2 linked regions of the Nothobranchius furzeri genome follow. The protein of the gene in region 1 purifies or fractionates together with the protein of each later gene. This does not show direct contact. Links are inferred from orthologs where the notes say so. Each region holds a gene or a part of one and is shown on either strand. Other genes may lie near its edges.

Region 1 (16,495 bases):
AAAAGTAGGAGGAGGACAACTCATTTTAAACACAATCCTTTCTTTAATCAGCTCGAGCTCCGGAGATATGGCAACACTAGAGGGACAGCCAGCTTTGTCCTCATTTAAATTCCTTTCAAATAGTCCATTAGCTCTAAAAGGAAATGAGTGCCATAAAGTTGCTGCTACTGTGTGACGAAGCTCGGTTTTAACAGTGATCAACAGAGTAAACTAAAGATAGCTGAAATGAGAGGAAAGTAAAAGTTATTATACACGAAAGTTAATCAGGAGAGATTTAATGCGTCTCTTTAGGCTGGTGTTGGCTGCACATGTTAGTCCTTCTCTGCCACCTGCTGGGCAAATATCAAAATGCTCAAAGAAATTGTTGCCTCTGCTGCAAACAGCGTGCCTAATCTTAACACCAATTTTTTATCGATATTTTCCCACCAATGTACAGAAATCTATCATTTTTGCCAAAATGCAATAATATAATACATTTATTTTATAGAGGTTTCCAAAGTTTTAGCTTTTTATTAAATTTTTTTTGCTACTTTTGATATTAACCTCCTTTTTCTTTGACGAATGAGATAAAAAATAATGATAAGCTGTAGAGCTTTGCATTTCTTTTTCATTTCTTAGGTGACGTGTAATCATATTGAATGTATGCACTGCATGTATTACCTCAGCATTAACTCCAATTTGGATTTCGTGGTACTTTTATTAAATTTTTGTTTCTTCTTCCTTCCACTGTGTTGTTTTGAACACAGACTGGGTCAGCTGAGGTGAAGCAGGAGTCACTGACTTCATCTTCTCAGGACATCTCTTTCCCCTTGGCGATCATTTACGACGACGATGACACGCTTGCTCACCCCAGTGTAAGTTCCCACCATCAAACCCCAAGTCATCCCAAGTTGTCTTTCAGCTTCATATAGGCATCTAACCTCCGAAGCTCCTGTGTTCACATATGTGGACATTGACTTTTTGCACTATAATGTTGTAGTGGCCCTGCCCACTGTGGAACAGGCAGTAAGTGAGGTGCATTGTGGGTAATGGGTTGTCAGTAGTTTTGTTCCATTTCGGTGTGTTTTGCTAAGATTATTGCCAGGATTGTGTCCTTAGTCTTTTGCTCAGTGTTCTGACTCTGCTATTTTTAGTTTGTGTCTATTCGGCACTATGAGTAGGGGTTCCAGTCCGAGGAATGGGACCGCGGTACCGTTTGGATGTTGAACAAAGTAGTTAGAATAAAGCAGAACCGTGCCCATCACTCCTGTTCTTAAATCTCTACACTAGTTACTAGTAAACTGCAGAACAGATTTCAAAGTGCTTCTACTAGTTTATAAATCACCCAATAGCATGGGGCCAGAATACATGTCAGATCTCCTTCCTGTACATATGCCCAGCAGGGCTCTGAGATCCTTAGGTCAGAATGGGTCAGAACCAAACAGGGTGAGGCTGATTTTAGCTACTATGCTGCACACAGATGGAATCAGCTTCCTCATGACCTCAAATCTGCCCCAACTCTAGTAACTTTAAAATCAAAATGGAAAACCTTCATGTTTTCATCAGCCTTTGAATGACTGCTCTTATGCTGCACCTTCTGCACTGTAACTGCTCACATTTTGTTTCTTTATCATTTTTTAATTGTATTTTCTGTCTTGTTGACTTTAATGTTCTTGCTGTTCTTGCTAATGGAAAGCACATTGAATTGCTTCTATGTATGAAATGTGCTCATATAAATGAAGCTGCCTTGCCTTGACTCTCTGGAGTCGATGTCCTTGATCTTGCTGGGTGCTAATTGTTAGCAGTCTGCTCTCCCCGTCACCTTGGCGTGGAATTTGCCACAATATTTTTTTATTGTTATTTTTGAGACACTTGATATTTACTTCAAGTGTAACTTTTTTTTCCTTTCTTTTCCTGGGAGGAAATTTGTCAAAACTGTTTATTAAATGTTTATGAATTTTTTTCACATTTATGAGAGTCGACTAATCTGTACTGGCTAGAAATGTTTTTTTCTTTATGAATCACACCAAATTTGGGTTTCACGAGGTTAAAAAAAACTTTCAAACTTCAAGAATTTCAATGTTGATCTCTCTCCATGTCATTTCAGTTACCACCATGTTTTTACGATTGTGGACTTTTTATTTAAAAGTGCCTCTACTGCTTCTAACGCATCAACACTTTCCTGCATACTTTGATTCAGAGCATCATATCACACCGCAGTATACCAGTTTATAGTTTCCTAACACTGCCTCCTCCTCTAGCGGCAAGCCAATGATGAAAAACGAGAAGGAAAACTTTAAACTCCAATAACGCTCCCTGGGGCTTCCCAGTCATCTATCTCCACTGGGGAAACTAAGTTATACCCTGATGTATGCAGATAACCCACTCACACAGATACACACACACACACATGCATACATACACTGTCAGACAGGCTGATATATGGTAGCAATATGCCCCAGGCGAGCCCCGGCCCCTGCACCATCTCCAGCTCCACTCCCAATTAGAACAGATGAGTCCCATTAGCCCGGTTCAGATACTGTCATCCCACACACACTGCCTCGTTAGCACCATGACACCAGCTCAGGGCCGACAGACAAGAACTCACTGGTACTGATTCTAACACACAGATTACATGCAAGCGTAGCTGTACGTAGCGTAGGCTGGAGATGAAGGATGGACGTGTCTGGAGTTGCTCCACCATCTGCATAGTAATAGACATCTGTATCATCCCACAGATGTACAGTATGTACACATCACCAGCATGTCAACATTATACCTCCCCCTGCAGCGAATATAGGAATAATCTGACATTTGTTTCCAATGTCCCAGTGCCCTGCGTCTCAGTCGTTGTGTTACTTCCTAATAAACAGATGCCTTCATTCATCAGACACTTGAAGCAGCAGTTTCACGACCCTCTTACAGTCAGTATCATCTCTACCGATGATGTACAGCGCTGGGAATAAGTAACACATGCAGGCCTTTGTCTAGGAGCGAGTGTCACAGGACTGGATGGCTTCTAATAGACCGGCCTGAAAAGACATGAGAGATGCACCTGTTACTGTAGTATTAGAGCATCATAACTGTCTCAGCAGCTACACTCAGGTGGCTTTAAATGAGCAGCGCTAACAACTCTACTCCAGGAACTTAAAGCTCTTTTATTAGTCAGAATGGGAGATGTGTTAGAGCCAGACCCAAAGATTCAAAATAAACCATTTTTATTGTACATTATAATTAGTTACAACATGTTATAATTATAAATGCATTTGTGTGACCAACAGATTCTGTCGTTGTGGCCAGATCACAAGGCTTTAGGCACATTTAGGAGTCAGATCAAGTGCGAAAGACTATTTTTTCCCCCTCAAAACAATTCCTGGAAGCAGATTTAATTGTTTTTGTTTACATTTGCAACTTATGCTCATCTTACTGGAGATATCACTCTATAATTGTTTTTATACACATCTTAGGATCTAATACTAACATCTATGAAATGCTGTCAAACAAAAAGCTAAACTGTTTCACTGTTTTCTTCTGTTTCAAGGCTTTTCAACTTGACTTCTTTATGCTTTTCTGCAGTTGTTCATGGAAAAGGAAACAGCTGAGGAGCTGTGGCTGAACAGACTGATCTCCCTTCGACAGGAGAGGCTGATGGGAAGTCCTGTTCCCTAGAGAGCAGATCTTTCTTTTTCCAGTCCAGAGCTGCATCTTATTTGTCTTCATTGCTTCTCAGTCATCTTTTAAATTATTTCGAGATCATTGCAGCTTTTTTCAAACTCCTTTCTCTCAGGACCTGTGGAGCAGTTTTTGTGTCCTGGTGTTGCCTGTTATTTTTTATTAAAGCTAATGAATAAATGAACTAATGTTCTTTATTTGTCTTTTGTAACTTCTCATGATGAAAATGTAAATGTCAGGTGTTATTTTTCTGAGTTGATGTAACATTTGATGCCTGATGTTCAATATAGTCTGTTAAAGCTGCTGTTTTTATAATAAAAACATTTGGTGTCGGATATATTGCCACAAATTTACCTTGTAGTGGTGAGGATTGACTACATATTTGTTAAGTGATCAATAAGATGTGATATTCTATATAAATATGAATCTGATTGATCTTTAAATATTTGAATTAATATCACTTTAAGTTCTTTAAATATTCAACACACATTTCATATTAATTCAGACAAGAGTCAAGTATATAGTTTTATAAAAATGTAATTCTATTTTTCTAAAGTAGTGATTATACATGACAAAGTATGAATGAAATGATGGTTGTACAGATAACAGATAATGAATGAAATGGAATGTAAGCTAGATGGTTGTAGCAAGACCTTGTAAGTATCAGAGAGATCTCGTGATGTCTGGGTTGTAAAATCAGTTTGGCTGCATGCTTTAATAAGCTACAGTTTATTTATAAAACCAACACAATCGTGCAGAGTCTACGAACACTTGTGTGACTGTCGCTCTAAGCCGTTTGGATGAAAGGCAGCCAGAGTGGTGATTTACCGGACCTCGTGGCCACAGGAATCTCAAAGAGCCGTAGTTCCCTTTGAATTCAGATTTCTAGTCCGGCCATGAGATGCAACCAGGGTCTGCAGGTTAGACGTTCCACGTCTGAGGTTGTAGTGTCTGAAATCACTCGCAAGCGTTGCAGAGAAGCTTTGACCTTGGGGTCAAAAGAGAGGATGGTTCCAAATGCTTGCTCGCCTGTCGGTTGAACCAGGAGACCGCTGGAGAATTAAACAGATCAGGAAGCGATCCTTTCAGAGGTGTGACCAAGTCACTGCTTTGCAAGTCACAAGTAAGTCACAAGTCTTTCCAGTCAAGTCAAAGACAACCAAGTCCAAGTTGAGTCCAAAGTCAATGATGTGGAAGGCCAAGTCCTTAACTTTGAATTTTCAAGTGATATTCAAGTCATCTGTCCAACTTCAATTTAATGACGATAATAAAAAAAAAATCCAGAAAAAAGCTTTTTAAAGCTTCATTTTTTGCTCAAACAAGCAGAAAGTGCAGCCGAAACTGATTATGAACAAAGTGCTGCTGCATTTAGAACAAGATCAAACCCAGAACGAAGAATGACTTATGATTTTTGTCCATGGTGTGCCACTTTTGTGCTAAAATATCAAATATGCCCAAGTCAACAGATGCAAGTCGATTCAAGTCGTAAGTCTTTATACATTTTATCAAGTCAAGTAAGTCATTAAAATAATGACTCAAGTCTGACTTGAGTCCACACCTCTGGATCCTTCTATTCATTAATTGTTGACAAATTTTAGACAAATCAGAATTTGACAAGTTTAAAGGCCATTACCAACATACCTCAGAAGATCCCTCCTTCACTCCGATACTAAGAGGTTAATTCTTAGTGAGAAGTGAAAATGTTAAACATTAATAATAATATTATATTATTGTGAATATACTGATAGATGAAATTATATAGTCAACAATTACTAATCTGGTGTTGATCTGAAATGAATCATTACAGGAAAAATATTCATTTTAACCCCTCGTTGATTAATGTAGACATTATTTATGCACTTTGAATTTAAACAAATTTTTCATTCAACAAGAGATGATTATATGACACTTATAAAATTGTAAAGTCATTTATGTCAGGAAAGATAAACTTTATTCAGAGAGTAAAAGTCTCGTCTTCTGTATGAGGTCTTGGGTTCCAGCAAAGGTAAGGGAGCTAGGGGAAGGACTATTATGGCTCCCTTATTCAGTAACAAGGTCATCGAGCAGTGCTTGTCTGATCTGGAGACCAGATAGCTATGATCTGGCCCAGGATGTGTGATGCAGTTTGTGCCTGCAAGTTAAAAGTTAACTTTTGGTCATTTAGAAGAAATACTTACTTACTTTTGGTACACTATAACATGTTACTCTAAAATTTTAGAAAGTTTATTTAATTTTTAATATTTCCCTTTAGTTTGTTTCAAAACAAACATTAAAAATTATATGACCTAACACGTCTTCAACTTTGCTGTTAAGCATGCAAACCACATTGTGTTTTCCAGAGTGTTGTGTCAGTGGTTTGGTCTAAGATTGTTGGCCACGATTTATGGCGTCTATTCATGGGCTCACCAGATGGTAAACCTATGAGTCTGAATATAATACTCTCTTCAAATGATCAGTGTTGAAACTGAATATTTTAGCTTGTAAACATGATTTACTGCATGAAACGCACACATGGCTGCTTGAGTACTTAATTGCAATTAATTTTGTCAGCACATCTTTCCAGAATTTAGTTTACCCAGATTCATATGCACCAAAAATTAGCCGTTAAGATTTTGTTTAGTTTAGTTTAGTTTAGATTTAGTTAAATAAATCCCACATAAATTATGTTTCAAAATCTTAACAGTTTACATTAAATAGGCATAGCTGAAAAGTTACAAAAATATGGGGATTTTTAAAATAATAATAAAATAATAATAATTATTATTGTTGTTGTTGTTGTTGTTATTATTATTATTATTATTATTATTATTTTGACAGAGTAGATAAACGTTTTTTTAATGAAAGAAAGTTCTCGAGTGTCGTTGCCACAGTAGCCGTTCACAACATGGAGCGCGTGGACAGAACCTGTTTAAAGAGTCCTGCGAAAGTAACCAATGAGGGAGGCGGATTTCTGTCACATGAGCACCGTTCGCTTTGGCTCTAACTGCTTGACACCTCCGTTACTAACGGTCAGGCGAGACTGGAGAGCTCGGTACAGATAATTACTTAGTAAATTTCCCAGTTCGGTTTGTTTTTGTGGTTTTAAAGTCCGCGGAAATGTTCAACAGCATGCTGAGGGATTTTGAGGAGGACCCGTTCTTTTCGTGAGTAGTAGCACCTGTTTAGATGATTTAGCTTCAGGTTAAATTATCAAAACGAAGGCGTAGAGAACCAACGCAGATTATTTTAAGCTAGCAGTTATGTGTCCCCACATAGTTGATGAAAAACAGTTTTGTTATTTTACAGATATACATTTGAATTATATTTCAAACAACTTCACACAGACACCGAACTACATTAACTTTGACAAGCTCCATGAGTTAGTGTGGCCACACTCAACCCGACTTCTAAGTGTGCGTAGGGGTGGCTAAAATTATTTTGGGGTGCGTCTTATTTCAGTCTGGTGTGTTCATTGAAGAATTCACCCATGAGCTCCAAGTTTGTGTAAGGGACGAGTCATGTTTCTTTTTAATCGACCGATGGCTGACATTTTTGTGACTGTTTTTAAATCTCTCCCTTTTTTTCTTTACACTTCTCATATTCTCTGACAGAGATCAATTCCGTGCTCACAGAGAGCAAATGAGGCAGATGATGCGTAGCTTCTCTGAACCGTTTGGTGCATCCTCGTTTCCCAGTATAACCGATGGGAGAAACCATGGACGTGACGTGGGAGTTCATCCCAGTTCATCACTTGCTCTGAGAAATGAACACAGGGTGAGTACATCCAGTTCAGAATGCACTCTTCTTTCAGGCATTTGGGTCTGAGACGTGTAATGTGCTCATTTTTGGGGGGCTGAACATAATTCGTACATTTTGGACCCATGACAAACGACAGGGTTTTGACGAGTCTCTAATTCTTAGGCAGGATGCATCCCCCATAGTGTACCTGAACCTTGTAGAAGTACAGGGCCGTGTTGGTCTCTGGTTTAGTGGAAGAGCAACCCCCTTTGCCTCTTGTCAGCTATATCCAGCCCTAGAAGACCTATTTTTAGTGCATTATTCCACTAACGCACAACTTTTTTGTAAATACATGCACAAACATCTTTGAAGGTCCCCTGAGAATTCTGCTTTACTGGTATGAGCTGCTGCTGAGATTTTTCTTTATATTTTAAAGAGCAAGTCACTCCCTACCAGAGTCTTACCCCCAAATTCCACTACCTCCGCTCCGCTCGGGTCCGCCCCCGCCTTCCGCAGCCGCTCGCTTCAGAACTCAATTTTTACTGGTACCTGCTCTACAACGGCTCCGCTCCGGTGCGGAGACCTGAGGTGGGCAAACAAGCATGCGCGGGATTTTCGAGATCTTGCGATACAGTCCGAGCAATAAACGCGGAAGTTATCCAAACACCCGTTGTGTGGGAGAAGCATCGGCATGAACTGTTTAATCTGCCCATCATTTGTGTTGACAGATCAGCAATGTTTGGATCAACAAAGTGTGACTACTTTGATAGTAGAAACTGTATTTATGGCTTACTTTTGTGCATTTAAACTTCAGCCACCATTGATAATTGTTAAAAGTTGTTAAACCTGTGCATATGAAACAAAAAACGCCTTTTGTTTATCGATTTATTGTGAAAAACGGAAGATGTGCTTGCTCCTTTTCCTGTTGTGCGGTTGTGATTTCTGTCCATTTACTGCGGAGGTGCTCCGGCGTCCGGCAAAAATAGAATCAATCCTATTTTTGCTGGACGCCGGAACAGAGGGCGGCGCGCGGCGCCACACTGCCGGAGCACGGCCGCATTAGTGGAATTGCTCTGATTGACTACAACGGGACCGATTTTGCTCCGGCGTTCGTGTCGGAGCGGAGTGGAGGTAGTGGAATTTGGGGGTAAATCCACTCCTACTTCCTGTTTCAAAAATGCAACAAATGCTGTTGCCTGGCAGACTGAGACGGTGGAGCTGCTAACAAATACACTGATACTCACCACGACATTGTGACATCATAATGTACCAGCTAATGTCATGGTGTACCTCTTAGCCAATAACAGATTTAAAGAGCAAGTCACCCCCAAATCAACTTTTTTTGCTGATAAATTATATAATTGAGTGTCAAATCATGCTGTAAACACGTGCAGTCAATAATTTGGCACTTAAGTGCATTTTTGTTAAAATTAAAATATTCTGGAAGACTGGTAGGGGGTGACTTGCACTTTAAAGAGCAAGTCACCCCAAATCAACTTTTTTTTCTGATAAACTATATAAATGCATGTCCAATCATGCTGCAGACACGTGTAGTCAATAGTTTTGCACTTTAGTGCGTTTTAGTTAAAATTTTTATTTTCTGCCTAAAACTGTCAGTGTCAGGTAAAAACTCTGCATTGCATTTGAATTTAAATCTGCCATTGCTATTGGCTAAGCAGTACCCTAGAACATTAGCGGGTACTATGGTGATGTCACAATGTCATTGTGAGCCTGTGTGTGTGTGTATTTGTTAGCGGCTCTGCCCTCTCGGTCTGCTAGGCAACAGCATTTGTTACATTTTTCAAACAGGGAGTGGAGTAATACTCTGGTAGTACAAGAGACTTACTTCACTCCCACTTAATGTTTAAAAAATGCAACAAATACTGTTGCCTGGCAGACCGAGAGGGCGGAGCTGCTAACAAATACACACACACACACAGGCTTACAGTGGCATTGTGACATCATAAGGTACCAGTTTACATCATAGAATACCTCTTAGCCAATAGCGGTGGCAGATTTAAATTCAAATACAGTGCAGAGTTTTTACCTGACGGGCGCAACACTGACAGTTTTAGGCAGAATATTTAAAATTCAACTAAAATGCACTGAAGTTCCAAATTATTGACTACACGTGTCTGCAGCACGATTAGACACTCGTTCATGTCGTTTATCAGCAAGAAAATGTTGGTTTGGGGGTGACTTGCTCTTTAAAGAACAAATCACCCCCTACCAGCGTGTTACTCCACTCCCACTTCCTGTTTGAAAAATGTAACAAATGCTGTTGCCTAGCAGGCCGAGAGGGTGGAGCCACTAACAAATACACACACACACAAACACACACAAGCTCACAACGACATTGTGACATCCTAATGTACCAGCTTAATGTCATAGTGTGCCTCTTAGCCAATAGCAATGGCAGATTTAAATTCAAATGCAGTGCTGAGTTTTTACCTGAAGAGAACACTGACAGTGTTAGGCAGAATGTTTAAATTTTAATTAAGATGCGCTAAAGCGCCAAATGATTGACTGCATGTGTTTACAGCACGATTAGACACACATTTATATAGTTTATCAGCAAAATAAAGTTGATTTGGGGGTGACTTGCTCTTTAAAGAAGCTGTCAGAATGACTCTTTAAAGAGAGTTGTTTTTCTTGCCGTTCAAAGCAAACTATGCTCAGATGAATGGGCCATGACCCAAATTATTAAGAACGAGATGTTCACAGTGATTGATGTGAAATTTTCTCAGGCTTGTTTGTTTCAGAGGCGACAAATTAGTCAATTTAAAAAAAAAACTTTCAATTTATTTGGTAACTTGCCATCAGTATGTGAAGAGCATTTCAAGAAATATTTAAAATGATTTTCATTTGGATCCAGATGAGATGCTAACACAGAGTCATCATGTTGTAAAATCTGCTTGTTTGTATCATAAGAAGAGGAGCTGAGAGCATTAATCATGAACTTTTTACTAATCTTCTACTCCCTTCCAAGTTATATTGATACTCGGTCAAAGTTAGTCACAGTCACTTGCTTTAATCCAAGTCTGTCACGGGAGGCTGTATTTATCCTTGATAATGGCTTACTTCAGAAGCATGGCCTTGATCACGTACCGTGTGCTTTCTTTTTAATAGCACCGTGCTGCAAGCAGCTGGACTTACTTTGAGTGCTACACATATAACCTCGTCAATAGAGACTAATACACTTCAAATGATCCAGCTAAGAAAATTAACTTTTAAAATCTCTTGGCCTTTTTTGACAAGTGGAAAAACAGATTTGTTTTCCAAACAAATGAGTAGATGTCAAAAGAATGTGTTATAAAAGAGAAAAAAACAAGTCCAATAACTAAATTAATATCTATAACACACACACAAACACTCTCACACACACACACACACACACACACACACACACACACACACACACACGCGTCTCAGAAGATAAGAAGTTCAAACCCACAGTGGTGGAAAAGCTGGGGCTGTTGTAACGGCATGTACTTCATGTTCAGATGTCACGGCTTCTCTGTTTTCTCATTGTTGCTCTTTTCGTCCATCTGCTTCACAGAACTTGGCATCACTGGCACATTAGCAGCTAGATGACAGACAGCTCGCTCTCAAGCTGTCCTCCAGTATCACAGATGCAAATGCACACACACACACACACAATACGGCATTAACTCGTTTGCAGATACAGGGACACGCAGTTTCACTTTGCAATATTTATGCAACGGCATGCATGTACACAGAGAAGCACACACACACACACACACACTCTTAATGGACAGTTATGTTCCTTCTACAAGCATACCATGAGATTCCCAGTGGAGGGAAAAGTGCTGTCTACCATCATCGGCCTCTGAGTGCTCACATTTCTCTAGCTCCTGCCAATCTCCACTAACAGGGTCATGTTACGTTTCTTAGTCTTCATTCATCGTGGCACTTGTTTACAAAAGTACTGTTGGGTAGCAGCACAGCCCCACGTCCAAACAAGCTGTCAGAACTTCTATCAATAAAAATGGAATGTGATCATTTACAAAAAAATTAATCTTTAAAAATGTAAATTTTTGATATTAGCTAAACATGTTGTAATATAATTTAGGGTAGTTATATTAAAAGATTTTTTTTAATTATGTGGTTGTAAAATGTCTCACAAGTGATGGATAACAGACCTGCGACCTCTGCCCCATACTAAGTGCACGTCAGTTTCAGCAGTCAAGAGATCACAAAACATGCCTATAATGTGTTGATGAGTGTGTCTGTTTTCCTTACTTTGCTCTGTCTCTCCCCTTCTCATGCTCAGTCTAAATATAATGCTCACAGATATGTAACTGGCATTTATTAGATCATAGATACCACTGTGGGATAAAGCTGGCAGTTCAGGAGCGTTTTACTTCAGCTTGACCTTTGAAAAGAGCTGAGAGAGCAGCCTTGGACTCTCTGACCCCCTACTGGGTCTCTGTCCTGACTGGTCCACCCTGCCTGCTGTAACCTTCCTAGAATGAAGCTCAGTTATGGTGTGAAACCCCCTCTAATCTCTGGCAATGTGACCCAATTACACATGGAACACAAGTCATTCAACACCCCACTGATTACACACAATAACTCTGCACATCACAGCCTGAGAAAATACCCTCACTCACATAGTGATGGCAGTTGGGATGCTTATCTGGGGCAACAGGGGTCACAAACACCTGTGGACTTGGCCCACAGTACATAGATAGTGACTTGAGGGCTGCAAGCTGCACCCATCTTACTCATTTGTTGGTGGCTGCAACTCCAGTAAGTTAGTTGCTTTGAAAGTCTGTAGAAGACCATGTGTAGAGCTGTTTGTAGTAGATATGTTGGCAACTTGGTGATTAATGGAAAAGAAAATCAGCTACGCTGAGAAATATGTAGATGACATATGATGTTCTTTTAGAAATGTCAAAAATAAATGCTAATGAGAAACATCAGTGTTACACAGCTTTTTGGTGATGTTTATGCTGTAATAGTCACTTGGTTTTATGGTCATCTTGAAAATTGTTGTTTTAGGAATGTTTAAAAACATATTTTAGACAACCAGCTGTTTTCTAAACCCGCTTCATCCTTTTTTTGGTCCTTGGGGCTCAGGTTCCAGCAACCATTAGGTGAGAGATGGAGAATGTCCTGGACATGTCACCAGTCTATCACTAGACTCTAGACCAGTGGTTTCTAGGCTATTTTAACTTCTGACGCACACAATTACAAAAGACTTTGAATAAAGATATTTTATAAAAGCTAAATAAACAGACACCTTCAGCTTGTATTATTTTACCTTTAGCCATTTCCACTACTAATAGAAAGTGTTATCTAATGTAGTTTTGAAGATCATCTCAGAACCCCAAACTCAGTATGACCCACATTGTTAAATAAATTGCGTGCAACAGTTTTTTAAAGTCTTCTATGCATCTAAACTGATGTTTTAATCTCCAGGATATGAGCCGGTCATTGTTACCCTTTGGCAGCACTGACAGCACGGTCAGTGGAAAACGAAACCTCTTTACTGGCAAAGTGCATGCTCTAACTCTGAAAGTACATCTGTTCCTTCATCTCTGACTCGTCAGTTATCCATAGCATACCAACTTTATTTCTATAGCATAATTTAAACTACAGCGTGAGAGCTGACCAAAGTGCTGTACAGGCAGGATCAATAAAAAAAGAGAGCAATAAGGATCTAAACAAGGCATCAATAGCAGATAAAAACAATAAGAACAGTAGACAAAACACAACAGTAACAGTCTGAATGCCAAGCCATAAAAGTGAGTCTTTAAACGAGACTAAAAGCAGGCCGAGAGAGTGCCTGCCTAGCTCTAACAGGCAGTGAGTTCCAGAGCGTGGGGGCAGCATGGGCAAACGCGTGTTCACCCCGTGATTTGTAGTACACCCGGGGAGTGCAGAGAAGCAGGACATCAGCTTACCTCAATTTGCGCATAGGTACTTAGGGGGTGAGAAGGTTGGACAAATAGGGAGGTGCTAGGTCATGTAAAGCTTTAAGAACAAACATCAATTTCTTAAAACGTACACAAAAAGTGACGAGGAGCCAGTGAAGACATGGCAGGACTGGGGTGATATGACTACGCCGGCTTGTTCGTTAAAAACCTAGCAGCAGCGTTTTGGGTGACCTGTAGCCGGTTCAGGGCAGAGACAGGAGTACCTACAAGTAGTGTGTTTGCATAGTCCAAACGAGAGGTAATGGAGGCATGGATGACTGATTCCAAGTGCCTCCACTTCAGGATCGGTATTAGACGGGTCAGGCGGCGTAACTGATAAAAACAAGAGCTCACCACTGAGTTTATCTAAGGAATCATCGAGAGGTTGGCATCCACTTACACCCTGAGACTTATTACACACTGCTTAGGGTTTAAAGTTAAACAATCAAAAGCGGAGTGAGAGCCAGAAGGATTGTGGGGGTCAGAGACGATGGATTCCGTCTTTGGCAGCCAGCCAGCGTATCACTGGTCAAAGAGACCCCTCTCAAATGATACGTATGTGTCTAAGAACAGATCAAATACTGTGTAAACCAAACTTTATTCTCACCTTAACTGAGGCTGAGTTACTTGTGTCAGCAGAAAAGATCATTAATGTGAGAGTGGGAGTTTTTTGCTCATTTAGGATTAAAATAGCTCATTTAAAACATTTTCTATAAATCTATTTATGAAGAAACGATGGTTTGTCTTCAATGCATGACTTTGTTCTTGTTTTCTTTAGAAGGAATGCTAAATGTGTAATAGTTAATGTTAGCATGCATGACTAACTTAGACGTCACCAAAACATATTTCTTAAGGTGCTGAAAGATCAATGTTCTGCTTACAGCGAATGTTTAACACTCTACACCGGTCATGTATATGTGCACACATGATGGAGTTGTTTACAACGTTCATGCATGTGTTCAGCCTTCCAGCTCTTGTTGCTTTGACTGATATTGCTGTGTTTTGTTTTTACAGGGCATGCACAATCATTTTGGCATGTTGGACAACATGATGGTCAACGTGAGAAACAGGATGGAGGAGATGCACAGGAACTTTGTAAGTTTAGTCAAATAAACAGCCTGGATTGTTCAACTGCTGTTCATAATAAATGCTGGCATGTTTGTGTGTGTGTGTGATTTTTTCAGGAGAACATGTCCACAGATTCAAACTCCCACTCCTTCAGCTCCTCATCAGTAATGACGTATTCAAAAGTCGGTAGCGAGCCTCCGAAGGTCTTCCAGGCAGTCTCATCAACTCGTCGTGCCCCTGGAGGGGTAAGTCTCCTGAAAGAGTACATTTTGATGTTTTAAACCCTCAAAAGTGAAATTATTTGTGAAGACTGACTCACACTGGTTTTTCCCAGATCAAAGAGACCCACCGAGCAGTGAAGGACTCTGAAAGTGGTCTGCAGAAGATGAGAATTGGACATCACATCAAGGACAAAGGACACATTGTTGAGAAGAAATACAACAAGAAAACAGGAGAGAAAGAGCTCAGCCAGGACTTTCAGAATATGGATGAATGTATGTTAAAGCATTCCACTTGCATCACACTTTTGTCCTGCTGTAGGGTCTTCCACCACCCCACCTAACCTGAGCTTTCCCCTTCAGCTGAAGCTCAGTCGTTTGATGATGAGTGGCAGCAGGAGTTGTCCAGATTTCAGCCATCACACCCCACGTCTTGCCTGAGACAACCTCCATCCCGTTCAGGCTTTCAGGCCGCCCTAATGGGTCCTGAACACTCCCATGGGTCAGTATTCACACCACATGAACAGAAATAACACACTTTCTGTCCAACACAGATATAACACAGAAAGAGACCAAGTTCAGCTTGTGTATCATAATGTGATCATTTGTTGTGATTTTATTTTATTTTATTTTTTGCAGGAACCAGAAAAAGCTCGAAGCTCGAGATAAAGATAAAACTGAAAGCTCAAAAAAGACAAGTCAATAAATCACCCGTCTTTCTATTCATTAGGCTTTGAGCATCATACATCCCACCTTATACATTTAAATAGATTGTTACCTATGTCAGCCAGCCGCTTACATCACTAGAACCAATTTTCCCAAGCAATTTGTAAAGTGTGATTTGATTTGTTTGAAATGTGATGAATGTTTATTTTTTGAGTCTGTTAACCAAAAAAAAAGAAAGAAAGAAAGAAAAAGAAAGAATAAAGACTAATGGCAATAGTCTAGTTATACTTGGTGGCATTTTCTGAAGCTGAAGACAAAGTGAAAATGTAATTTGTTTTGTGTAATAGAATACAGCAATTTTCTATTTAAAAAGCACAATATTATATATGTAAAGATTTAAGCCTCTTATTGGTTCACAAAGTCTGAGAAGAGGTCATTCATTTTAAGAGCTCTTTTTAATGACTAAATTAAACACTTAAGAAATCCACAGATGCATATAAAAATATAGTTTCTGTTTTTAATGTGTTTTCTCTGCTGTAATCTTTGTACTAAACACACGTGCACTTCCCTTTTTTTCCATCTCATGAACTCTGCTGCACTACACAAATGCTAGACAGCATGTGGCTTCCTCTACGTTTTGTTCATCTATTTTTGCATATGTTAAAAGTACAGTCTGTCGGCATGTGATGTCTAAATAAAAGAGGAAAGAATCTTTGTGAAGTTTTCTTTAACCGTTCAAATCTAAGATTTATTTTAACAGTTGCACAAAAAGAAATTTATCTATTTGGAAAATAAACTAAAGAGGTAGAGGGGAACCTCTTTTGCACAGTGACCCCAGGTGGTATTTTTGGATCCAAGTACTTGTCAGTAGCTCAGACTGGGCTGAGATGTTGCACAGCTGCAGCCCGCCATACTTCCCTCTTACGTGCAGGTGTTATCAGGCCTTCTTTCTTTCTTTGAAACTAATAGGAGCATAAAAAAGGAAAAAAAAAAATCTTTGACAATTCTGGCGTTACTAAGCCATCATTTTGTTGACAAACTAAAACAATATCAGCAGACTCACAGGTAACTAAAGGGTTTGACAAATTCTTTATGGAAGTTGTGGTTTTGGCACGAGTTACCAGAAAAACCTGTTTTGCCACATTCTGAATAAGAAGTAAAGCACAGCACCAGTAGAAAGGTTTTACTACTAAATAAAATATTTTACAAAAGACTACACGTGCAACTCTGTCG
Region 2 (15,635 bases), on another chromosome or scaffold:
CAAGCACATAGTGATTGGTGATATGAATGGATCATTGTAATAACAACATTCATTTCAAGTTCATTGATTTAAGCACAGGTTATTCAAACACCTGATTCAGACATCCTATTCATTCATCACGTATGATTATTTATATCATGAGATGTAAAACTCTTGTCGGATTCGTGTTGATTCACTTTTATTCAGAGGGATGAATCCAGCAGTCTGACTTTAAGCAAAGAGAGATAAGGCTTTTGCGTCTGGTGAGACCTTGACAGTTTATTTATGTCTGCGTTGAAGAACAATGAGTGAGAAAAAGGTTGATTTGTAGGTCTGGATCCTCTAGCTGGCACAACCCTGACCCTGCAGTTCTGGAGTGCATGAAGGGTTACGCTGTGCCAATTCATTGGTGGAAACTGACCCTTTTTATTCATTACACCAAAAGAGAAAATACAAGTAATACAAGAAAGTACAAAAGAGAAAATGTAAGAAATGTCATGTATGTGATAAAACACATTTTTGATCTTGAATAAATGCTGAATTAGTTTAATCCAAGATTTAGAGTTGAATGCTTGTACAATCTTGGATGAATTAAATAATTAACCACGGTACCTCCAACATACCACTTTTTTGTATTCTTTTCTGTATGACTTGTTTTATTGTCGTACTTCATTTTTTTCATTCATCGTGTTTTGTCTTGTGTCATATTCAATGTTTATTTATACAAAAAGAAAGATAAATTAACTAGTTCAGCCGTAGTTTACTTGCAAGAGATGAACTGATTGTGTTTGAATTCATCACAAACTCAAATTTTCCTGTTTTTTATGGTAAAGCTTTTAGTATTACTTTTAAGAGGAGTGACCTATTATTAATTTTGTTCTATCTATGTTATTTTATTTATACTGAAAAAATGTTCACAAGCCCACTAAAATGTTCTCTTCCTCTGCTGAATTGAAGAAAATGGTTTCTTCAGAACACAGTGAAACATTTAACAGCTAAGTGGCATTCATTTATATTTTTTATATGACAAAAATAAGCAGTACTGATGCTGCTTTGAAAAAGCTGTTTCTAAAGTCATAACACCATAAAAATGCTGGGAAAGTCGCAATATGTTGCAATATGCTGACATCTTAGCGAAGTCCTGAAAAGGCAGCTTTAGTACGGAGACAATGGCTTAGAGGACCGGTTACTTTCCCGAATTCCCCAAAATTTCTATAGTAGAAACACTGCTTACTGTATATCAAAAAATCCTGTTTAGTTTACACTTCAAAGGAGGGTTTGGGTGCACAAAGGTCCTCACATCTACTTGTCGAGGTTTAAATTTCATTTTCCAGCAGGTTTACTGGAGGTTAAAGGTGCAGTGTGTAAGTGCAGTGTGTCACTCCTGTTTCGTCAGTTTTATGGCTGTAGCCAGTTGCGGATCATCATCACCAGAAGATTCTAGATGCCATAGTTAAAGTTAAAGTCCCATGGTTGTCCTCTGCATTTGACCCATCCCCATACGGAGCAGTGAGCTGCAGACACGGCTGCGCTTGGGAACTATTTGGTGGTTTAACCTTCCAATCCAACCCCTTAAAGCTGACTATCAAGCAGGGAGGCATTGGGTCCCATTTTTTTAAGAGGGACTGCACACCATCAGAAAATGTAATTACACCCCTAGTCAAGATTTGAAAAATGCTATGAAAGTGGGCGTTGCCAGGAGGCATGGTGTGGCATGGCCAAGTGTGGAGAATTTCCATTTTGGGAGGGAGGGGGAGTGGGAGGAGACTGTATCGATGACGTAAAATTGTACCAGCATCACAAATATAAAATGCAGTAGCCACAGTTCTGCCAAAGGGGGCAGCACTAAGACGTTTTTAGACCTAAATTCTAGATTTAATCAAGTTTACAAACTTGTCAAAAAATACACAGAAACAGAAAGACTGCATTGGTAAAGACCCAGTTATACAGTTTAGAAACAAAAAAAAAGTTATTTTGGGGTTTAGTTAGTCTTTAAAGTCTATGACCCGACTGGGATTCGAACCCCGATCTTCCAGTCCCAGGGGAGACACTGTATCACTAGGCCACTGAGCTGAGACAAGCAAAGACGAGTCAAACACAATAAGTTGATAAGTAGATAAACACATTGTCATATCTGGTGCTAGCACTATTGGGTATTTTACAGTTAGCTATTGCTTTGATCTACTCATTTCAGGAAGTAAAACACCACGATTGACTCATTATTCACTTAACACATAGATTTCACTGTGATGTCGAGTTGTTGGTAATTGAAAAAGTAGCTTGAGATATTTTTATAGCTGACTCTTTGCTTCAAATTCACCGTTAGCATTGTTAGCTCAACGCTAGTCTCAAGGCTTCTTTACCTGATATTAGACTAGAAAATAAAAGATGCATTGGCTTCTTAGGGGTACTTGAAATAACTTCTGGGTCACTTTAGTTACTGCTTTGATTCTTTGTACAACTCTCAACAATGCTTTTTGCTAGCTGTAGTCGAATTACAAACTACACTAGCTCGCAGGAGACACGGCAACCCCACACTCCCACAGACTTTTGAAAGGAGAAAACCTGACAACCCCAGCAGCCGGCTGAGAATGAAATATGTCTGAGTATAACCTTCCTTCCAACGTAATTGAGACATTAGACTGTTTTAGGATTATATCACTGTAAAATTCTTACGTTATCCTTACACACTGCACCTTTAAATCAAAAACATCTCATTCATGGTTAGACAAAGACATGTGGAATAGGCTAAAATCTATTTGTTCTCCTCTTTTTTCAATCTTGATTTGTAATGACACACAGCCACTGTTTTGAAGTAATAATGTTCCGGCCCACAGGACAGGCGGCTGATAACACCCGCTGAACTGTAACAGCAGATATCTTATCACAACTGCCTCAGCAGCTTGATGTCTTCCTGAGATTATTCTCCTGGTGATAAAATGTGGTCCTACACAACAAAACGATGAGTATATTCTTTGTTTTATTTAAGTATTTATTGTCAGAGTCCATAAAAATGTGAACATTTGTCTCACATTTCCACATCTAAACGCAGTTTATTACAAGAACGATCTGTCAGAAGATCCTAAATGAGTTTGTATTTTACAAAAACACAAAAAGAGCGTGTTGTTGATTAGGCTACAAAAAAATCTTTAAAATTTGCATTTTAAAGGTGCAATACTGGTAAAAGTACTAGGACTGAGCATCATTTCTTTGAAACTTTCAAAGTCGCCTGTTGCACCAAATAGACTGACCTTCATCGTCTCTCACATGCCATAACCTCAACATCTCATGGTTATTTCAAATCAGGCAATTTCTCTTTTGCAGCCAAACATTTTCAAGAGCCTAAAAAGCAAGCTGCAGAAATCAGTTCAGTCATTAGAGATTTGTTTAAGATCTGGAGGCCTCCTGGAGAAGACCAACGCTTCAACAACAACAGCAACAAGCGAACCACTGCAGCGTCTACAATCAGAATAAAATATAAAAATTGCTGTTGTGGTGTTGTATGGCTGATGAAAGCAGGTATGAATTAAGCTTTATACTGCAGATAGGAGGAGATCTGATGCAGCAGCGATGCTGTCGGCTCTGATTTTAGAAAAATCATACTAATGCCACATGTAGCCGACGGCTCTTTTGCAACACAACTACTTTTATACCTGCCGGGTGTTTTAGAAAAAGGTGCCGAATCCATTCAATCGAGGGAAGAGTCGAGCGGATCGTTTCTTTTTGGAGTCTGCCTCCTTTAGCCACAGCTTCTTTCTCTTGGAGTCCATGTGACCTTCAAAGTAAAACAAAAAGAAAGCATTTAAGAATGTTTATAAGCTGTGATTAAATGTTTTTCTTTTTATTCCTTTTACTGTGGCCTAAATTATTATGTGAGTGCTAAAATAAATCTAATTTGTAATCATAACTTGTATTTCTGCTAGCTCTATCTCTTTATCAGGATTAGTACATTATTTTGTCTGCTGCTCTCTGGTGGATGATGGCACTGCAAGTGGTAAGTACCAATTTTTATTATTAGTAGTAGTATTATTGTAGTATTGTTATTATTTTATATGATATGAAATTATGTATTGAGTTCAGTCCTGTTAGTTATTGTTTTAATGCCATTTTCAGGATACAGTACATGTATTTTTTGTCCTAATTAGAAGCAAACTTGTGTAAAAAAGGTACAAAAATAAAAATACTTATGTCAGTAAGTAAATCTTAATGCATACGCATGATTTACTAAACATGGTACAGAAAAGGTATCAGATGGTTTTCAGGTACATTTTTAAACTAATCCAGTCTTTTATTTATTTATTTATTTATTTACTTATTTATCTTTGTAGCTGCAGCAGGAAAAGAAAATAAGAGTAACTCACTTATTTACATTCTGCTTGTTGACTAGAAGCAGGAAGGTTTGCTGCATGAGTGAACTTGAGATTTGACTTTTTGATTTTGCACACAATCAATGTATGTCTGAGCTGGTTGCAGGCTGTGAGGCTGTTTTGATTTTGTTGTTTTGCTCTAGCTGATTAGTTAGATTAACGTTCATAATGAACATTCATACAGAATGCAACCCTCTCAGAATTCTAATTGTGTGATTTTTTGTTTAACTTTGCGCCTCTTTGCTGTGATTGAAAGTGAAAAAACTGAACTTTATTCAGAATTTTCTAATAAAATGGTAGTTATTTATGCAAATCTTTGAATACAAAGTCATTTTTTAACATATGCATGGTTGGAATTAAGCTATTTTATTACCAGAAGATCCAGATGATAAAGGATCAAGTTTGCAACAATTATTGATAAATCTGTAACCCGCTTACACGCGTTTGTGACTAATTAATGACACGTTAGTAAAGATAATCCGATTTTGGGCTTAAACTCAGGTTTACAGGAATAAAACTTGTAAATTAAGCTCTCTGAGGAGACATTTTCGAGCTGTTTGTGCATCTGAGTGAGAGAATTACGCTCTTTTGTTCGCATCTCAGCAGGAACTATGCTCGGTGAAATTAAAGGTTGCCTCCTTAACTAACGAAGCCGCCATTATGAAGCATTCAGCGACTGTGTTGCAGATAATTGCTCAGCTTTTGTGCCTGACTTCCTGACCCCGTAGAGGAAAACAGGGGGCGGACTCTGACCTCTCGGTCGTTACGGCGACGTAGAACAGAGCTGCCTAATGAACATGTCTGTCCTCTGTGTTTACATCTGCCAATCAAACACGCAACTCTTCGTCGTTTGTGCTTTGTGGGGCCATCAGACACAAAAGCCGACAATTAGCTGCGCTCATTAAGACTCTTTAAAGGAGAGCTCAGTGTGTTGGTAATTAATCAGGCCTGCACTGGCAGATTGGCGGACCTCTCGTCAGTCCCTGGCTCTGTGGGCCGTGCTCCTCCTCTTCCTCTGAGGGGTTCTGGGCAGAGTTCCTCAGGTAGCGCTGGTGCAGGCCGAAGCCAGGAAGCGCGTTCTGTCTGAGGCGACGAAACTCCTCCTCAAAGGGATCCTGAGGTGCGAGGTCTGTGGGCGTGAGCGGAGAAGGAATAAATCACACTTAAACTCATCCTGTTTGGATGGAATGCCCGAGGTGCTCAACATGAAGTCGTTTTTTTTTTTACATTTTCTCCTCAGATATGTGTATTATAGAAAAAAAGGGAAAACATATTGCTTTGTGATGCCCTTGGCAGTGTGCGTACGAGCAGACAGGAGAAAATAGATACACACATCTATTACAAGTTGAGCAAGAGTCCAAAAGGTATATTGATGTACCCCAAAAGAAATAACATCTAAAACAAGTCTCTATGGAAACGCACACCCCAGCTGTATATTCCATTCATATTTCATCTGCCTGACTTTATTGTGATTAGTCATGTAAATAAAATGAGATTTGCTTATTCTTTTCTCGAGGTAATTTACATTTATATTGAATTAGTGGCAGGCAGGGAACGGGGTGGATGGGTGGGGGTTATTATGCTGGGAGATTACAGGCAGATCTCATCGTCATTGTGTTGTGTAATTAAGGCAGCGGAGAGGAGACGTGAAGGAGGCCAGATGCTCGTCCTGCTGAAACCGGTCTAGTTTAGGAGGATCTGCACCCCTCTAAGGTTTAAGATAGTCCAGTTTTAAACAGAGAACGCATCTTTGAGGCGTTTTCACCACAGTAAAATAAGGGTGTGTTTTGGTCACTACCTTAAAGACCAAGTTCACTTGTTTTTTCAACACATTTGCAGCAGTCTCTGGTGTAAAAAGACACCTTGTGAGTCTTACTCATTATTATTTCCTGATATTCTGACACCTTGCCTCTGATTGGCTAACAGCAATGCAACTCTACCACTGACTCTGTTTGCTCTGCAACGTTTATGTTTTATCTCCACAAATAACACAAGTCTGAAGGAGTGACTGATGCTAACGGTTAGCATCTACTAGCTGAGACACACTCTGCTCTCTCCTGGCTGCAAAAATTAACCACCTTCCCCGACACGAGCCAAGGTGGATGAGTCCATGAATGCTAATTTACAGCGAGATGCAGATCCATGTGGCTTTTTTTTAACCTGGGCACTTCCCCATTTATTTTCTATTGACGGTTGATGCAGGGAACAGGTATACAAGACTATTTTCACGTTCAGCCTGCATGTGAAATTCAGAGCTGATCATATTTAAAAAATGACAGGTAAAAAATGGTTTCTCATTGAACTTGGTCTTAAAATGTGTCTCCAACAGTTGGAAAGCTAGCTTAGTCCATCCCATTACACTCACCCTGAGGACAATTTAGAATCTCCAATCAAGCTAACATGCATGTTATTGGTCTGTGGGCAGAAAGTGGATAAAACACACGCATGCATGATAAGAACGCTAACTCCATGCAGAAAGGCTGCTGTGGAAATCAAACTTGCAACCGTCTCACTACAACCCAACAAGTGCTACAGACTGCAGCTCAACATCTAACTTCCCGATCCAAATAGTCTCATTGCTTCAGAAAATATGTCTTATTATTTTTGGCAGGTGACAATTCTAACAATTTCTCTGCAGTCAAAAAGTGTATGTGTCTATGGCTGTGTATTAGCAAAGGAAGAATGAGGCCACTCCCTCTAGTGGTGGCTAAAAGGGTACAGTAACAAAAACTTTTACATTAAATTGTTATTAAAATGTATCAAAACATCAAAGATATTTTTGTGTATAGCAGAAATATTGTATAAGTAGTCCTACAGAAGATTTACAAAATTGCATTGCTACTTGCTACATCACATGAATAAAAATAAACGAGTTAAATTTTTCTTTCACTGTTGGAATTCAAATTGTATGATTAACAGGTGTCACCATCTGGTTTTTTTTTGCACCACACTCAGGACGTCAGTGCGAAAACACGTTAGTTGCACATAACTGACATGATCTAATATTGTCTGACAAAAAAATCCTTTAAACTGTCAGGCATAGTTACCAGCTTGCGTCTCCTCTAAACTTGCAAAAATGTTGCCATTAAAGAAATTCGTTGAAAACCACAAACCTGAAACTATTGAGATTTGGACTTTTTTGAAAATGGCGAACCTCCACAAAATATATATAAAATCTGATTTATATACCCAATAATTATAACTGTATGTATTGCATTTTGATTAATCAAAGGTGGACGGTGTCTTCGCTGGGAGGCCCAGTGGGGTGGCCATGCCCCCCCCCCCCCCCCCCCATCTGGCCACCCCTTGGGGGCACCACTGCTTAACTGTGGTTTATTAAAGTAGTCCAGCTGGGATAAATGCTGCATCTTGCTACCTGCAGCTACGTCACTTTTAAGCATTCAATCATACAAACAAAGCATCTGTTATAGCCACAATAACAGTGAAACTGCAAACATGAACATATGACAGTTACCTAATAAGGAAAGTTTGGAATATTTTTAGATGTTTTCCGATGTTTCAGAATAATTCACAAGTATATCCTTAATAATTTTCTGACAATATCTGATCAGTTTGGTCAGTTTATTATATTTTTCTGAGCAGAGTGACTATCTAAATGTCTCAGTACGAGATAGTGCAAAACACCAGTCACTGTTTTCTACGTCCAAATGTCTTTTGTTGTCCGTGAATTCAAATGGTGTTTTTCTTTTTGGGACTCTGGCTGTTTGTCCTAAAGTTGAAGTGGTAGCCGCCGTCTGTTTCTCCTACTCTGATAGTATTGAGTGGAGAACCTCTCACACCAGAGGTGTTCCGTTGCTAAATTTGTGAGATTGTAATGAGTGGAGGACCCAGGGAAGCGTGGAAGTGCAGCAGTTCAGCGAGACCGACAACCAGATGATCCATTAGTAGATTTTCGTCCGAATTGCGTTTGAGCTTTTGAGACAAATGCCAGAAAACCACCTTAATATTGCTGGAAGAATATGTAGTTTTCAACATTAATGCTACTGAAAAATTGGCCACCGACGTTCCTCTATTGTGTGGAATGTCTATACCTAACGTTGATGCCAGAACTTGTGGCTATGGACATCAGAGAGGTGGCTTGAAAAGAGTTTTGATTAGATCATGTGGAGTAAAACCGCCTTCTGTTGTACCTGGGATTTTCATATTTTCAGGATTTGTTTTATTTCTAACTTTTAACCGTAAAACATTTGGTGATTTGGGTTCATATTTTGAGCGGACAGACAACATTTCTACCAAACTGAAACGATTCCTTCAGGTGGAGCTCAAGAGTTTTGAGGGACAACGGCCTGAGCCAAGGCTCTAACTGAGACAAAGGCGTTGCTGGATTTAAATTCCATTTGAATGGGCATCTTATTAACACAGGTCATCCATTTTGACCCAAGTCCAATTTCTTTGTCACAAAGACTGTTCCATTGTGTTGAGGCTGAAACTGGCTGAGCAGTTTACACAGAATGTTCTTCTTTTATGGTCAAACTTGGTGGTGATTTATCCCTTTTTGGCCTTGCACTTGAACTGATTTATTTCAGAGTTTAAAAACCAAACTGTTACATTGAGTGTAGTTTGAATGGGAAAAACAACACGGTGCTGACTGTACAGACACCAGATCTCAGTGAACAGGATAAGTGGTGGCTTGGCTCTCAAGGCACCGCAAGAAGGGGGTTGGAAAAGAAATCTCATTCCAGCTTGCATTTGTTTTGTGATCCCATCAGGTGAAGGTAGATAGCCGGATTAGGCCAAAACACTTGTGACTTCAAGGTTGTGCGCTCCATTCCAGCCTCTTTTACCCCAGAGGATCAATATTTGCATCTACTTAGAGTCCAGTTACCCAGGTAATAAGACTCCATCTGCCACTGGGTTGCATAATCCAACAACATTTAATTAATTTAAACAAAGACCATATCAAAGAGCTGTGATGATAATGAGGGCTTTTAACTTTCATAAAGCTGGCCTATTTTTTCTGGATCAAGGAGAGAGCCGAGAGAACATGTCGGAGCAACTCGATGCTTTCATTTGCTGCTATTGTCTTGAGAGTGGCTGTCATTTGTCTCCAGGCTTAAACAATGTAGCGTGTTTGAAACACAATGTCTAGACTTAAATAAAGCACCAAGACGCACCTAAACTCACAAAGACACCAAATCTATATGTGATGGACAAATGCAGCCTGGCGCGCAGCAGGATGGAGTTTTACTTGTCGACTAAAGGAGCCTGAAATAAATCACTGCTCAAAAGGGGCTAACCCTACATGACAGCTACAACCAGATTAAATTCAACAGCCCACCTTCCAAAGGTTCAAGACATCTGGTGTCATGCTGATGGGACCTCTCTATTGAGCACAGACAGATAGAGTCCGTGTTCAGACATGGGTAAAAAGAAGCTGGCAGCCTATCTTAGCCATCATTCATAAAGTGGCCAGTGGCTCAAGGCCCTGGTTTCGTACTAAGCTGTCTAGTTTCGTATGTGTGTGTGAGAGGAGGGTGCATATCAGACGTGTGGAAAAAAAAAGTTAAAAGATTGTATTAAATCTATGTATAATTCATATCTTGTATAAAAAATACATTTTATAAATGTTTTTAATGCTGTATTTGAAAAACTTTATTTTAAAAATATAAATGTGTATGTATATGATTCCAACAAGGCTCCAGATCTCGTGGTTGCTCGCAAAAAACGTAATTTTCCCTTTGTATGTTTACGACGCAGAGGTTGCGCAGTCTTTTGAGTTCCAACGGCGCCATCTCGTGGCCACATGACTGTACAACCCTGATTCAAATAGTCTGGGGGGGAATAATCACTTTTATTTTTATTACACACGTCAGGGTATTTATTTTCAACTAACGCCGTTTTAGTTTTCTAGGTTTACTAATCGTATCAAGTAAAATACTAATATTTACCAGTTTTACTTGGAATTAATGTCGGAAAAACTAGTCTTGAGACCTTGCTTCAGAATAATAGTGGTTTTAGGTTTCTAACGTTTTGGGGGTTGTTTTCACACTGAGAGTTTAAACATAAGAACAGTAGACATGTAAACATCTCGGCATACATTTAAACCTTGCTTAGTAATAGTTTTCAGAGGAAGAGCTGAAGTTGGAGCCAAATTTTTAACACCATCCGTCTCTTCAGCACCCAAATCGTTCGTGCTTATAGTAAATTTGTAGAATCACCTATCTTTTTTTAAATTTGGCTGTGTTTTGGAAGAAATTTGTAAGTCAAAACTGTACAGTAAAAAAATGTCATTGAACTAAATGATGGTAGGTTAACACTGAAACAACCCTAAATGCCCACTAGAGGGGGCTGTAGTCCAATAAATACATGAACACATGTCGGTTCAAACGTTTTACCATTTTTTAACTCTTCGTAATAAAAATAACCTAATTTTTTCATTTGGTGGGGAAAAAAAACTAAAACCACTTTAAATAGCAAGTCACCCCCAAATCAGCTTTTTTTTGCTGATAAACTAAATAAACGAGTGTCTAATCGTGCTGCAGACACATGTAATCAATAATTTGGCACATCAGTGCATCTTAGTTAAAATTTAATTTTTCTGCCTAAAACTGGCAGTGTTGCGCCGTCATCAGGTAAAAACTCTGCACTGTATTTGAATTTAAATCTGCCACCGCTATTGGCTAAGAGGTATGCTACGGTGTAAACTGGTACATTATGATGTCACAATGCCGTTGTGAGCCTATGTGTGTGTGTATTTGTTAGTGGCTCCGCCCTCTCGGTCTGCCAGGCAACAGCATTTGTTGCATTTTTCAAACATGAAGTGGGAGTGGAGTAAGTTTCTTGTAGGGGGTGACTTGCTCTTTAAGCGCAACATGCATAAACTAGCACAAAAACTGCGAGAAAACACGTTTACAAGCTAGGTTAGGAAAAGTTGACTGGACGCTTAGCAACAGGACAGCGCATGCGTATAACGCTGCTTCACTCTACACCACTGATAAAAGTTAGGATGAAGAGCTGCCATGTTCTCTAAAATAATATCATTTCAGACTAAATTAAGTCATAGAAAAGTAACCATTTGTTCCTGCTCGGAACCCTGAAGCGTTTGAGTTATTTTCTTTTTCCTGATTCTTCAGTTTCCTTGACATGCCTCACAAGAACACGCACTGGGGCTTGTGTAAATAGACTAGCCTTGGGCACATTCCATAAGAAACACTCATTTCTGTGTTCCTGGGCCAGCTGCAGCCACCACCCTATCCAATCTTGGATCAAAATCTGCCGTTTAAACGCAAATCACATAACTGCACATTTCCAGGCTGCACATGAGCCACACTCTGCAGAATCTCTGCAGTTTGGGTTCATTTTAAGGACAAACTTACATAACCCTATAGAAAAGTGCAGCAGGGAGGGGCGACTATGGAGCCAGGAGTGGGTGCTGTTCCATTTCCAACTGGTTTGAAAAGGTAAAACACTCCTATTGTACAGAAAGATCAGCGGGTTTAAACGCTTCACTAATACCGTTCATCTTTTCAAGGAACAATGAACAAGATTTTAGTGAGGAAAGACACGCAGCATAATCACTGTACAGCAGTATCAGTGACCAAGCCCTGATGTGAGTCACTGAAGCATTAGTCAGTTAAATGATGCACAAGGTGAAGTGCATGATGAACTGGTGAGCGTACAGGAAAAAGCAGCAAAACGTGATTTTTCTTTATTGCCGTTGTGTGAAGCTGATTTAATCGGTGATGATGCACAAGCAGGAAACACACATTCATGAGTGGCACGACCATATGACACCGCAATCAGAGTAAAAACTACAGACACCAGGTGATGGAAGCAGTGTTTTCATTAAGTTTCACAAATTCAACTTTATTGACCAAATTTTAATCTTCAAAGAACAAAAACAAAGTCCCGCATCTGTGTCTGCTAAAAGGTGTTAATGTTGAGATTCACAGGTTGAGCTGCAGAAGCAATAAACACAGCCTCCTCCAGTCATGCAGAAACAAACCAATCACACGGTGACATTTCCAGACTAAAAGAAAAATGCACGGTGTTATAATTCATTTATTAATGAATAATTATTACACTCGCATGGATAATAGCAAACAGGTTAGCGGAGTGAAGCGGATGTTAAAAACACCAAGGTGAGGTGGTTAAAGTTCTCATCCACTTGTTAAACTGCTCAAATGAAATAGCAAAAACCACATGCTTTTAGGTCTAATGTACACATTTGTTTTCCTGCCACAACACGACAATATACACACCCTAAGTTAAAGGAAAATATACAGCATGTGTGTGCTTATGGCAGAGAAGTACAATATATTTATATTAAAAAAAAAATCCCAACACACTGGTCCCCCATCCCTCCTCCCTGAAATAATGGAATAAATAAAAATTTACAAACACAGAGAAGACGTCCCTCACCTCCCTGGCAGCTAAGCTAACATGAGGGAATTCTTCTTTGGGAATGAGATGCATGACGACAGAGAGAGGAGAGACTGACTGCCAGAGTTTATCCAGAGGAGAAAACCTTTTGTTCATTTGTTATCCAGTCTTAGTAGCTGCTCCTTACCATTAACTGTTAGAGATTTTAACTGACCATCTTCCACCACTTCTACCCGCTCCTGGCCGTTCTCCACAGTCCTGATCGCACACAAGGAAAAAAAAAAGTTTGTTTAAAAGAGAGAGATGAGTAGAATATGAATGGGGTCAGTTTCAACAACCAGATACCGTTTTGTGGTTATTTTTCTGCCGTTGATAATCTTGGTGGAGGTTGAAACGGACTTAAAGTTCCCCATTCCTCCTCCTCTACCTCCTCCTCCAAATCCACCACCAAATGAAGAAGAAGAGAAGGAGGTAAATCCTCCTCCACCACCCATGTCTCCAAACGAGGCAAAACCTTAAAAAGTGAAAAGGAATGGTTAATAAATGGTGTCATACTTGCTCTTCAGGGGATTTTTCAGCCTGTTCGAAGCACATTTCTGTGTAAAAGTTATTCTACTTGTTCAGCCTCAGCAGTATAAAAGTTTTAAAATTATTAAAACGAAGAATTTGGCGATTGTCGTTTCAAAATGATGTAAACACCAACTGGTGGTCCTTCAGCAACAGACCTCTCAACACACTCATTAGTTTCACTCCTGAAGTCCTGGAAAAAGGAGCCCTCAATTCCAGCTTAACAGCCAATCACATTTGGCTGCTAGGGAGAACTTGAGAATTTTTGGCCAATCAACACCATGCCTCTGAAGCACTGGTCAATAGGGCTCCTGTTACAGGAAACAGCTAGCTAGCATGCTAGAAGGTGCTGGAACTCTTTATTTCTAATAAATGCATATTGTGTTTTTGCCACCTACTGGTGGAAAATGAGTATTGCGCTGTGAGCTGATCAATTAAAGCGCACAGGCTGCTGGAGACTAAAATCTCCAGCTGGAAAACCAACAAAACACCACAAAATGTGAATGACAACAGACATGGACTGCAGTTGATGTTAAATGTGGGGTAGAAAGGCCTTCAAGGTAGGTTTGTGTCTTTATTTGAGGAGTCTAATTTGTAAATTTGACTATGAAAATGCTGATTTGGGTAAGGGAAATAAGGAAATTGTGGTCATTTTCCAACTGTTTTCATTTTCCAGCTCCACCAAGCACCTTGTTTCACCAACTGCCAATGAAGTAATTACTTCTGCTACTTTAACTTTATTAATCACAATGTATCCACTCAGAGAAGCACACACCTGAATCAAACCCTGAGAAGCCAGACCCAAAGGCTGGAAAGCCACCGAACCCAAACATCGGCCCTCTGCTCGGGTTGGCAGCTCTTGGACGACTGCAACTTCCTCCAAAGAAATCGTCGAAGGGGTCATCATCTGCAAAAGGTAAACACAGTCACATGACAGGTTCTGGTCTATACTCAGTACCTCATCTAATGGTTTCACTTTTATTGTTTAAAAAAAAAATCTTTCCTGGAAAAAAATGTCCCTACGAAATCATCCATGTGCTGTGCACAGACCTTCCTCCCAAAGCCCGGAGGAGCTGCTACTAATTGTGCTTCACCAATCTGGGTCACCCTGGCAGGATAAGGCTGGATCATCGGCACCATTTCCTGAAAGAAGACTCCTCCTTCAACCTTGAACGCATCAGGACTACAGTTGAAAAGCTTTACTTGTTCCATCCTGACGGAACGCTTAAAATAAAAGTCTCCCCTGTGTGCCGTCGCTGCGGTGTTACCGCGTGTTTACCGAGAAGGCGACACCTTTAGAGCTTTTAGATGTCATGCATCAGTTAAAGGGAGAGGACAGGAATGTTGTTCCAACGCGGGAATTCTGCTTCAGCTCCCAAGCGAGTGATGATTAAACAATGCAGGAAGTAAAGTTAGGTGCTTCTGCAGATGTGTCTGACACAAACTCCTAAAAGTCCAAACCCAAATAAAGGAGCAGATGATTTCTGGAGTGGGTCCAACAGTCAGCTGCTTTATTTTTTCACACGTTCATTTGAGGCGGAGGGTCTGCTGTTCTTGGAAGCCGACTTGGCCGTCATGGCTGTGTGATTCTGCATTTGTCTCAAGAGTACACACACACACACACACACACACACACACACACACACACACACACACACACACACACACACACACACACACACACACACACACACACACACACACACACACACACACACACACACACACACACACACACACACACACACACACACACACACACACACACACACACACACACACACACACACACACACACACTGATTTGGCTGAGTGACTGATCCTCAGGACCAGCTGCTGGTCAGGGTTTTAAAAACTCATCAAAAACCACTTCAACAACAATCTGGAACGCTCCTAAAGAACCCAAGTAAGGTGAGCACGTCCAGCTGGTCAAACATGTTAAAGATCAGTATTTATAGTCACCATTTACTACAAAATAAAATGTTTCTACACTTGACTTACTGAAACAAGCCCGAGAGCGTGATTCACATCGGATCTCACATGCACACGCACACGTGCGCATGCTCTGCGCCATTGCATTTGCTTTGTTTTAATGTGGAAGCTATTTTTGAATGCATTCCAGTTGAGTGATGCGAATGCTCAAATCCATCCTTCTCCTGCGTCTGAACTCCTTATTTAGAGGTGAGCTACACATGCATCCCAATCAGCCTGCTCCTTAACCCGGTCAGAAACCCACAGGTTCTACTCAATAACATCGACCAATCAGCAGTTACACAGGCTAGAACTAATGAAACGTGTAGTTTTGGCTTTTAGGGAAGCTTTCGTGTGTAGTCAAGTGATAAAAATGAGCTTTAAAGTGTTTCCAGGCCACCGGGTGTG

The links.
Region 2: the proteins of mlf1 (region 1) and dnajb6b purify together in Homo sapiens (affinity purification with mass spectrometry; 3 studies listed by BioGRID and IntAct, counting the BioPlex papers as one, with this or other methods). This does not show direct contact. The link is inferred for Nothobranchius furzeri from reciprocal best matches to the Homo sapiens genes MLF1 and DNAJB6.

What each region holds. Positions count from the first base shown.
Region 1 is NC_091753.1:40,111,481-40,127,975, reverse strand, and holds mlf1 (myeloid leukemia factor 1), read left to right. Parts: upstream 1-6,617; 5' UTR 6,618-6,747; coding exon 6,748-6,794; intron 6,795-7,090; exon of another isoform or gene 7,091-7,117; coding exon of another isoform or gene 7,118-7,134; intron 7,135-7,241; coding exon 7,242-7,404; intron 7,405-12,813; coding exon 12,814-12,858; intron 12,859-14,324; coding exon 14,325-14,405; intron 14,406-14,494; coding exon 14,495-14,623; intron 14,624-14,712; coding exon 14,713-14,872; intron 14,873-14,959; coding exon 14,960-15,098; intron 15,099-15,235; coding exon 15,236-15,302; 3' UTR 15,303-15,974; downstream 15,975-16,495. Other genes in the region: rsrc1 (serine/Arginine-related protein 53), read left to right, coding at 747-854, 3,556-3,648. UniProt on the Homo sapiens protein: Involved in lineage commitment of primary hemopoietic progenitors by restricting erythroid formation and enhancing myeloid formation.
Region 2 is NC_091747.1:47,484,045-47,499,679, forward strand, and holds the end of dnajb6b (dnaJ homolog subfamily B member 6b), read right to left. Parts: intron 14,164-15,635; coding exon 14,032-14,163; intron 13,204-14,031; coding exon 13,035-13,203; intron 12,948-13,034; coding exon 12,877-12,947; coding exon of another isoform or gene 12,842-12,876; exon of another isoform or gene 12,351-12,841; intron 5,476-12,350; coding exon 5,317-5,475; intron 3,755-5,316; coding exon 3,645-3,754; 3' UTR 2,951-3,644; downstream 1-2,950. UniProt on the Homo sapiens protein: Has a stimulatory effect on the ATPase activity of HSP70 in a dose-dependent and time-dependent manner and hence acts as a co-chaperone of HSP70. Plays an indispensable role in the organization of KRT8/KRT18 filaments.